2 linked regions of the Rattus norvegicus genome follow. The protein of the gene in region 1 purifies or fractionates together with the protein of each later gene. This does not show direct contact. Links are inferred from orthologs where the notes say so. Each region holds a gene or a part of one and is shown on either strand. Other genes may lie near its edges.

Region 1 (5,846 bases):
CCCGCTTGTGTACAGAGGGTGTCCTGGGTTTTAGTACTTACTGATCTTAGAAAACATTGATTGAGAATCGATGTCTTTGTAAAATTGCAAGACTTTAAAAATTAGAGGTTGGAGAAATGGTTCAGTGGTTAAGGGTACTGTCTGTTCTTGTAGAAGACCCGGGTTTGGTTCCCGGGCCCTGCAGTGTGGCTCAACAAGACCTACAGTTCCAGTCTGGGGGATCCAATGGCATCTAATGGCCTCTTGGGTTCCTGTACACACGTGGTGCACATCCATACTTAGACACACACATCTGCACATGAAATAAAAAAGCTGTCCCCAGGGAGTGCTGCCTTACCTGGCTTGCAGTTGGCCGTTTCTTTGGATCCCAGTTAAGCATTTCTGTCATAAGCTGAATAGCCTCACTACTGGCATTGGGAATGAGAGTTTTCAGGTTTATAGGAATGCACTGGGGAAAGCGGAAGTTCATGGAGGATGCCAGCTGGTACCCCTCCGGCCAGTCACTCTGTTAAAGGAGATACACAGAGAAAGTCCACTTGAATCTGGTGGGACGCTGACTTCTTGCGATCTTTATTGTTCCCCAATAAAAGCGTTATGTTTGTAAGAAAACCATTAAAGTATAAAGGGATTTGAAACTGAAAATATCATACATCTCTGCTAAAGTAAGAAATAAAAACCAGAAAAAGCAAAATAAAAATAAATAATAATAATAAATTAATGATTTATAATTATAATTAATACTAATAATAAATAAATAAATAATAATAAAAGTGAGGGACACTAAAGAGGCCAGGCCACTAGGGGACCAGGGTACTTACTTTCTTGGGAGTCCCTAACACTTGGCAAATTTTAAAGATCTCATCAACTTCACTGGTCCCTGGGAAAAGCGGTCTAAACGTATATAGCTCGGCCATTATACTTCCCACGGCCCACACGTCAATGGGAGAGCTGTACACTGAAGACCTTAGCAAAACTTCAGGAGCACGGTACCTGTGAAAACAGAGAACAGTACAGAAAACGCTCTTTCGGGTGTGACATCACAGGGCAATGGACAGCAGGAGCCAACTGTTGGCTCCCAGCTTCCAAGCAAGACCTAGGACAAAGCACCTTCTGTGTACCAGGGACTCTGGGTGAGACATCTATTTTCTGACCACAGTTAGTGGGGCTGGCTAGAAATGTGAGAAAATGTCCATGTGGCTTGAGGTAGGTCTTCACAGGGATAATCGGGAAGGTAAGTAGCCTCTAAATATCCAGAAAGAACCGTGGATAAAACCATCAGGTGTGAATGTATCCACTTGAGGTTAGGAGAGGAAAGATGGATGGATTGCCCTTGAGTAGGGAGTCTCTGCCCACCCCCCCTTTTACAAATCACATTGAAAATCTTCATGCTAGTATTACACTTCCTCATATAGATGATACTATTTTTAATTTATAAGAGGCAAGTAGCAAGCCCCTGCATCGCCCCCTGCCCCCATTCCTCGCTGATCTACGAAACAGTTGTCTTCCTGAGTCTGGAGTATGCCACTTAACATGATGAACTTCAGCTCAATCCATCCTCCGAAACATGACACAATTACATTCTCTCTCTGTGTGTGTGTGTGTGTGCGTGCATTTCTGAGACAGGGTTTCTCTGTGTAGCCCTGGCTGCCCTGGAACTCACTCTGTAGACCAGGCTGGCCTCATGTACATATAGTTTTTTCCACATTCACTAACTTTTCAAATGTCTACACTGCCTGGGACAGGGATGTGTTCTGGTCTGCACTATGCCAGCAATCAAGGCCACTTGAGCTAGACAGCAGTGCCATGACATATTTTGTTTGTTCTTGAAGACTGTCATTGGGATATTTCCTTCAGAAGACTTGTGTTCCTAATTTCAAGGCTACTGTTACAAAGCAGCATACCTTGAGGTGACACACGCCCTTGATCCCAGCACTCAGGAGGCAGAGGCAGGCGGATCTCTGAGTTTGTGGCCAGCCTGGTCTACATAGTGAGTTCCAGGACAGGATAGTCAGGGCTACACAGAGAAACTCTGTATCTATATCTATATCTGTATCTATATCTATATTTTTTCTTTCCCTCCTTACTGACCCCAACTTCCCCTCTCTTGTCCATATATTATTTTGTTTATAATAAGGTATCACCACAACATGTATGTACACACTTGATTTTACAAATACACATACAGGAAAATGCACTTAAGCCCATAACTTGCTAAATTTTCCACAAATAGGACATGTTCACAGGTCTAACAACCAGATCAAATGCATGCTACAGGAGCCCTAAAGGCTCATTCCACACTATTGTGGCGTAAACCCACAGCTCTTTCCCTAGTCTTGCGCTTTATGAAATGACTGTAATCGGTAGAAGGTCTTTTCCTGTGTGGCCTCCTACTCTCTGTGTTACCTCTGAAATGTTCTGTGTGCTGTTTGTCATGGTAGACTGTCCCTTCCTCCTGCTGAATAGCCTTCCTTTGGGTGGAATGCCTTAAGGGTAATTGGGGTTGTGACATTGATTTTGGTAATTTATACCATTTAACCGATTTGTGTTTTGGCTTTCACCAGACAGAGACTTCTGCTTTGTTCCTGGCCTTGTGTTCCTAATGCCTATGGTAATGTTTAGCACATAGTAGTTATTCAGTGTTATTGGAAGTGTCTTAGTCAGGGCTTTACTGCTGTGAACAGACACCATGATCAAGGCAGTTCTTAAAGGACATTTCATTGGGGCTGGCTTACAGGTTCAGAGGTTCAGTCCACTATCATCAAGGTGGGAGCGTGGCAGCATCCAGGCAGGGATGGTGCAGCAGGAGCTGAGAGTTCTACATCTTCATCTGAAGGCTGCTAGAGGGAGACTGACTTCCAGTCTTAAAGCCCACACCCACAGTGACACACCCATTCCAACACCTCCAAATAGTGCCACACCCTGGGCCAAGCATATTCAAACCTTACAAAGGCTGAGTGAACTATTTTTTTCCCTTCTTTTGTTTCATTAGTGGAAGAGCCACAAGCCAATTCTTTCCTCTCTGCAAAGAACATAAAATGTCTACATTTTGTTTTAAATACCCAATATGGACCCTCTGGAAAGCTAATTAACAGTTCAACATAGGAAAACTTTACTATAAATGTTACCATCTGGTAGACACATAGTCAGTATATGGTGGCTGTGATCTTAATTCTCTCGCAAGTCCAAAATCAGCAATCTTCACCAGCTCTGGACCCATGCAAAGCAAATTCTCAGGTTTCATGTCCCTGTGAAAAAAGCCTGTGCAAGCAAGAGAGGAAAACACTAAATAGTCCTGTTTATTATCATCATGTGACTCATTGCTTTATATAAATATATACATATAAATATAACCAAGACCTCCTATCAGCAGCACAGGGTTGGGGAGGAAACATTTTCCTAGGAAGAAGTAAAGGGGTGTGAGAATTTGCTTGCAGAAGAATTTAGGAGAAGGTTCACATGACATGTAAGGTCACTAAAAATAACTTCCCATTTTTAATTTTTGACTGCCATGGGTGCATACGAGGGATGGATACTGACACTGTGACTAACCCCTAGTATTTCTACATGCTTATGGAATTTGGTGTGTTGTTATCACTACTGTGTAACAGATAGAAAGAGATGCGGAGAGAAGCTTGGTTTCCGTCAATGTGGTTGGTCTCCTTACTGCTGTTATGCCACACCTTAACACGAGAGTCCCTGAGGTTAGTCTCAGATTTGAAAAGTTCATTGGACTTCCAAAAGAGCTCCACACATTTGAACTAATCTCCTGGCTTATTTAACAGTTCACTTTCTCCTGGTGGCTAAGTCTTTGAAAAACCCAATGATGAAAATGCTCATTATTACTGACTCTCTATTAAATAAATGGTCAGTGACAGAGGCTAATGATTCTTCCTGAAGTGGACTCAGGTGCTGGGTTCTGAAGACCGCACCAGGGAGAACTATGGTTAGTTGGTACCAACGGTCTTCTGTGGAGGTTTGAGACCCAGCCCTCTTGGTGTCGACATTTCTAACTATTGCCTACCTAGGTTCCAAGTGCACACAACGCTATGACACAAACTTACAAACCTTTCCCGCTAAATACTGGAATAGCCAGCAATTCTAACCAGACATTCAATAACACCAAATGTTTTAGATGTCCGAGATAATGATTATCTTCACTCGGTGATATGCAAAATCACATAAAGTAAAGGAGTAAGAGAGTCATAGGAAATACACAGCAGCTTCCATTCCACTCAGACAATAGGTGTGACTAAATGCAGACGCTAAGGACACTATAAAAACCACACATAGGCACCATGCAGTATTTAAATCCCCGTGAGCAGCCATGCTTGGTCAAAGAAGACTTCTAATCCTTTCTGAAATAAGCTTGGAGGAAAATCTGTCATTGAGAGAACAGAAAGGGCAAACCTGGGCCAGAGAGCATCCCCTGCACAGACCAAAAAAACGAATGAACAAACAAACCCCCATAGCACCTTCTGTCCAAACAGAACAGCGGAATGCCGCAGAAACACAAAACCAGCCATAACCTGAAATCACACTGCTGCCCTCTTTACGCAGTGAGAAACTGCCAGCAACACTCGGGGTTCCTCCAAGATGGGCTGCCCTGCAGCCTGGCACCATTACCCCATGCCTGCTGCTCTCTGTGCAGTGTATCAAATAAAGCTGGTTATTTTCAACTTATCCTAGAAAGAGAATTCATTTCCTAACCTGCAAAAACCCTCACAAGATACTTTTGGTTTTTGTTTTTTTCTTTTCATTAATGTTTCTCTAGTTGAGTTAGTGGAGAGGTGTGAGGCAGGAGACTAGTGAGCAAACTTGTAAAATGTCTGTTATAGATAATAGATATCGATGTACAATTATAAAAAATTACGATGTGTAGAGGACAAAGTCAGACACAGCTCAGCAGAAGACACATTATTGCTATGTGTGGTCCTGATGTTACCCTGTGTGCACAGACAGGAAAATAAGACTACGAAGAAACTCACCATGTTTGTGGATAAATGCCAGCCCCTGTAGTATTTGATACATAATATTTCTGATGACTGACTCAGGGAACAGTTTGTTTCTGGAAGAAATGAATAGTTTATTAACCAACCAGCGACCAGGAAGGCCAATGATCTCCCTGTTGTTCTGTGGCCTCCTCTACTGGCCAAAAGTATAATGAACAGAGCTGCGGTGCTAAATGCTGTAGGTTTAAAATGGGAAAACAGCGATTTTCCTTTTTGTTTTGTTATTTCAGAAAACCTCACATCCAACAGTCAATGCCTTATACAAAAAATTCAGGAATGAAAATCTAAACTTTCCAATAAGACGCTGGGAAAACCACCAGTGTCATTAAACAACTACTCAGGCTTGGAGAATAAGATCTGCATGTTTGAGGTGCCTGCTGTTTTAAGACAGGGTCTTGCTGTATGCGCAGGCTGGCCATGAACTTACCATCCTCTTGCCTCACTCTCCCAGTGTTGGGATTACAAGCTCGTTCTACTGTTCCCCCATGCTTCAGGTTTATACTGCTCATCGATACTATCCAATAAAAATACAGTTAAGAGCTACACATGAGAACCAGGTTTCATTTTCCAGCAGTTACATTTAACAAAAAGCAAACAAAACCGGAAACATTAAACTTACTTAAAATTTTTATTTTTAAGTTTACTTTGACTGATGTGTAAACCAATTGAAAGTTCATATTTATATAAATATAAAATATAAAAGTGCATATAATGCAATGTGTGCAAATCTCACACGTGCATGCACTATATAATGATTAAATCAGGGTAAAGATTTGTGTTTCAAACACTTATCATTTCTTTATGGTCAAAACTTCAAAATCCTTTCTTCTGTGTTTT
Region 2 (5,199 bases), on another chromosome or scaffold:
GCCACTGCATGCTGCAGGCCGGGCTCATTCACACTTAGTTCTTTATTTGGCCTTCCAAGTGGCCCCTTTGTGATGTGGAGCCTGCTGCTAATCTGGGGCTGGGTGCTAGTCACTGAATAATTCCCCAGCAGGCATGGGTTGGAAGAAACCCTGGGAAAGGACAAATGGGTCAGCACCATGCACATTGTTTGGTGGCGAGAAGCTCCTGGCCTCTGCAGGTGGAAACTGTCCCTGGGCTTGACCCGATGAACAGAAGGCAGGGCTGCCCTCAATTCTCTGCCAGTATTTAAATGAGAGCCACAGCAGCAGGAGGCCGAAGGCCCTTCCAGAGCCAGCTCAGCAGTTTATTCCAAACGCAACTACACGTGACTTGACTCAAAATGGGCTCTGAGGAGAAGAGAAGCAACAGACCGCCAGGCTCCCACGTGAAGAGTGGGGCCCAGCTCCCTGCCCTGGTGTCTGGGCCCTGCCCGAAGCTCTGCTTCCAAACACAGCTGCTTCAATTAGCTTTGCTCTCTGACAGGTGAACCGAGTGTATGTCATTTTCGATCTGCCCACCACTGTGTCTATGATCAAACTGTGGAATTACACGAAAACACCTCAGCGAGGGGTGAAGGAGTTTGGCGTGAGTCTCCACTAGCTGGTGTGGGAGATCCTTGTGCTTGCTGGAAATTAGGCTGGGGCAGTTATCATTTGGTGCAGTTTAGTCTCGATCCCCAGTTATAACCTTGGAAGTACCTGGTCCTGAGAGCAGGGAAATGGCCTGGAAATGATCCAAAGCCGTGGGGGATAGAGACTGAGTCTGCCTCATCTCTACATTTGGTCACCCAGTGCTGAGAACATCCCCCAGCCTCAACTTCCAAATCTGCAGCCCAAGCTGACAACACATGCCCTCCCTGCCAGTGTGGGGGAGATCCTTGGGCTTGGGTTGCATTGCTAGGGTTGGGGTAAATGTGGGAGGGTGCCTGGGCCTCACTCCTACTCTGTCTCTTAGCTGCTGGTGGATGACTTGCTGGTGTACAATGGCATTCTTGCCATGGTGAGCCACGTGGTTGGGGGCATCCTACCCACATGTGAGCCTACCGTGCCCCACCACACCATCCTTTTTGCCGAGGACACTGACCTCTGTCACCAGGAGAAACACACCATCATCAGGTATGCCCCTCACCAGCCCTAATGAAGATGGATGGCGGGACGTGGTCTGGGGCCTGATGCGCCTTCTGTCTCCCCTTCTGCAGTAAGCCTGAGGAAGACCAGGACATACAAATGATGAATGAAAACCAGGTCATCACCACCTCTCGCAGGAAGCCAGCCACTGCTGACCCAGGTGGGTGGCATGCCTCTGCCCTGGGCATGCCTGTCAGAGGCTTGGTCTATATGGAGAGGAAGTCAAGTACACTGGCCTTGCCCTGCCCACCTAAAACGTCTTCCCCTTCACTCTTGTCCCAGAGTAGCTTCCCTGTGGTCAAGAGAGAAGGTACACTGTGGGGAAACAGGAAAGAAAACCAAGTGGAAGGCTCCATGGGGCAGGTGGCATTTGAGCTGAGTCCTAAAAGACATCTGATAATATAGGCAAAGGCCCTGAGGATGGCATGATAGAGTCCATTCCATGCATGGGATAGGTTAGGCAGGGTGCCCAGAACTTAGGCCTAGCCAGGTCTCCACCTATCTGAATGGCCAGCCAGGTATATAGTTGTTCTCAAGGGCAGTGTAACTCACACCTCCTGTGCCCTGTTTCCACAGCCTTACGTCCCAAAACCTGCATACGTGAGAAGGAGAGCTCAAGGCGTTGGCGGTGCTGACTGGAGCAGGAGGGAGAGCCTCTTCGGGCTGGCTAGGCTCCATCACCAGCCCCAAACAGCACCGGTGTCCCTCAGACTTCAGGGCTGGCCAGCTGGGACCCCTCGGGCTGGAAGAGCATGGAGGGACAAGGGACTTGAATCACAGCCCCAGGAGCCATAGGAGTCAGGCGAAAGGGTCAAGAACAGGATAGCTGCTCCCTGCGACACAGGGCTGGCTGCTGGGAGCCAGGAACACTTGGTTCCTCTCTGTGCCTCTCCTGTGAGGTTCATAAGAGCAGGGCCTCTGGCACCCGAGTCCTAGGCAGCCCCTGACCCAGGCCCAGAACTCAGTACCAAGACCATGGAGCCTGTGCCCCTCCTCCACTACACAGCCCTCCTCACTAAGGGCAACAGCTGCTAAGAGGCCACTGTGCTGCAGCTCCTCTATCCAGTGCCTCTGGAGACCTGATGGGGCTAGTCCTCTGTTCAAGCCTGATTCAGGATGGGTCAAGGACATGTGTCCTGCTGAGGAGAGGAAGTGAGCTGTAGCGAGTGCTGAAACCTGCCCTTAGCCCCTACATCTCCTCCTATCACAACACACGCGCGCGTGCACACACACACCCTCTACCTGCAAGTCAGAGTTGGGAGGGCCTAGGCTCAGCCCTGCTTCTTCTCCCTGCAGCCCAGAGCCCCATACCTGTGTGTACATCTATGGAACAAGCTCAGATCAGGGACCTAATCAGTCTCCCAGTAGTGGGTAATTTCTGCTTCCAAATATTAATCTGTTATTTTCCTGGCTCGGGGCCCAGTGGGGCGGTGCCATGGTGCCGAACTCAGTACATTCTGATACTACCAAGAATCACAAACCCTTTTAAGCAGCAACACCCAGCAGCTGTACAGATGTTTTAATTCAGATCCAGCTGACAAGCAGATAGGATTGCTTCTCTGATGAGAATCCATCATCTCTGTAGCCTCCAGGGCCTCCCCACCCCCACCCCCTGGCTCCTCCACTTACTCCCAGGAGAGCCATCAAACCAACTCTAGGCGAATCAGGGCCACTCCTTTAACAGGAATCCAGCTTCTACTCCTTGGGGTGGGCTCAGGTAGATTTTTCTGGAACACCTAAGACTGACCTTGGCGTGCTCCCTCCAGATACTTGGTGGGTGTTTATAAGTGTGTATTCCATGCACTCTCAGAGGGAAGGCGCTGGCACAAGCATTAACTGTCAAACAAATGTTTATTTTTTCTTACAAAATCAATAAAAGATGTTATTAAGAATAGAGTGTGGTGCACTGGATGTTGTCAGCCAGAGGAGGTCCTTGTTGTCTCCAGCCCTAAGCCAGGGCTGGGGGGCCTGAGGCTTGCTGAACATTCAGGCCCCTCTGAGCTGAGCCTGCACTGCCCGCAGGTGGGGACGAGGCATTGGACTCTCTTTCTCCAAGGAATCCGCCTGCCACCATGAAAACAGACACCGGAAAACCATTTAATCCATGTCACATATGAAGTGACTGGGTGTGAGTGAGGCTGGCAGTAGAAATGTCCTAGGGTGGTACTCTCTAGATGCCCCCATGGCCCCTTTGTTCTGATGGATTTCATGTCCTTAACAGCCAGGAGGTCAAGGCAAGGAGCACATGCGAAGGGAAGGAGCAAGGCTGTGGCAACAGTGTTTGCCGGGAGGCCCCAGCCTTGAGGACCTGCCACAGGCCAGAGAGTTTGTACAAGGCTGCATGCCCACTAGTGCCAAGGCTGTGTCCCAGATCACAGACGTTGCACGTTCCTAACACCATGCACATGCGGTCTGCAGGCCTCCCTGGAAACTGGTCGGCTCACAGCAGAAGGGCAGCTCTTGGCTGCTTGTTTCATTATAAGAGCAACAGTGTCAATAGTAGCCAGCATATACCCTCCTCCAGGTAAACGGGCCTGTGGGTGATGGACACAGGCCTCATTTGCTGTGGCTGCCCTCCTCCCAGCACACTGCATGTTGTGCAGTGCTTCTACGGCTGGCTGACCTGAGTTGTAGCACAGGTGCACCATCCTCCATGCCCAACCCAAGTCCCCCTCTCCTGAGCTCCCCCGGTGGTGTTACCCCAATGGAGTCTGGGCTCCGACCCAGGCTTCCCTACCCAGACTGCACAGCAGCTTCTGGAGTTGCCCCAGCATCCAGACCTTGGACTTCACAGGCATCCCTCCAAGAGACATTCAGCTAAGTCTTCTAGGGAGACTCTTAAGAGCATGATGCAGGGATCTTGGAACTGTGTGACATTAATGGAGACTGCCAGGGCAATAAGCCACCCTCTGGCCTGCCCCTCTTCCGTGTTCAGCCACAGTTGATTGCTCCAAAAGCTTCTCACAGCCGTTGATGGGACAAAGCCATGCCCCACCCTACACTCCATGCTTACCCCTGTCTTTTGTAGTAGGCTCTCTTTTCTACCAATTCTGAGACTCCACCCAACTTGCTCTCTACCAAGCAAGGGAAGGGGGGGCACACCCCAGCTAGCCCTGTCCCCAGCTTGTCCTCACCCTGTCTCAGACCTTATTTCTGTATAACAGCCCCCTGCCTCCTCCTAGCCCCCTTCCCTAGCTCAGTCAGACCCACTCCATCAGCAGGCCACAGTCTCCCAGGAAATCACAGGTGACAGTATGGGAGCTCAGTGGCGAGTAGTCCAAGACGGACTGGCCAGGGGACAGGCAAAGCCCTACAGTACTTTCCTGTCTGTCCACAGTGGGATCCCCAGGGCAGAAGACTGGCTTCTCCTCATGGCAGTGACTGTACCACTGTTGGGTCGGACACACAGTGGCCTGGGTAGAGCTGAGCAGCAGTTGTGGGTTGTTAGTCTCTGTTGCTGTGCTGGAGCACCATGACCAGAAGCAGGTTGTGAAGGAAAGGGTTTATCTAGCTTACATACCCAGAGTCGCCATCCATTGAGAGAAGCCAAGGCAAGAACTCAAACTGGGCAGGAACCTGGAGACAGGAACTAATGGACAGGCCACAGAGGGGTGCTGCTTACTGGTTGCTTCCTCACGGCTTGCTCGGCCTGCCTTCTTATACTGCTAGTTCCACAGGCTCTGGGGTGGTACTGCCCACAATGAGCTGAGCCCTTGTGCAGCAATCACTCTAGACTTGCCCACAGCCCAGTTTTACACAGGCAGTCTCTCAGGTTAGGTTATCGTCTCTGATGATGCTTGCTTGTGTCAAGTTGACAGACTAGTCAGTACAAGGGTACTAAGAGCCCAGAGCACCAACCAGCCCAGGCCAGGGACTCTTAGAACTCAGCCCTTCCCAGCTCACACACCATCCAGAATCTGATTTCCATAGAGGTAGGGAACACATCCCTATCCTTCCATCCAGAGAACTGTTGCCTGAATCTCTCAAGGCCTACCTGGCCTCCCGTGTCTCTGCCTGTCCAGAATCACATCC

The links. The genes of interacting proteins can lie anywhere in the genome.
Region 2: the proteins of Mak (region 1) and Katnip purify together in Homo sapiens (affinity purification with mass spectrometry; 3 studies listed by BioGRID and IntAct, with this or other methods). This does not show direct contact. The link is inferred for Rattus norvegicus from reciprocal best matches to the Homo sapiens genes MAK and KATNIP.

Annotation. Positions count from the first base shown.
Region 1 is NC_086035.1:23,908,461-23,914,306, reverse strand, and holds part of Mak (serine/threonine-protein kinase MAK), read right to left. Parts: intron 5,066-5,846; coding exon 4,986-5,065; intron 3,259-4,985; coding exon 3,126-3,258; intron 991-3,125; coding exon 819-990; intron 506-818; coding exon 338-505; intron 1-337. UniProt on the Homo sapiens protein: Essential for the regulation of ciliary length and required for the long-term survival of photoreceptors. Phosphorylates FZR1 in a cell cycle-dependent manner. Plays a role in the transcriptional coactivation of AR.
Region 2 is NC_086019.1:189,864,342-189,869,540, forward strand, and holds the end of Katnip (katanin-interacting protein), read left to right. Parts: intron 1-523; coding exon 524-625; intron 626-994; coding exon 995-1,155; intron 1,156-1,238; coding exon 1,239-1,327; intron 1,328-1,743; coding exon 1,744-1,802; 3' UTR 1,803-3,061; downstream 3,062-5,199. UniProt on the Homo sapiens protein: May influence the stability of microtubules (MT), possibly through interaction with the MT-severing katanin complex.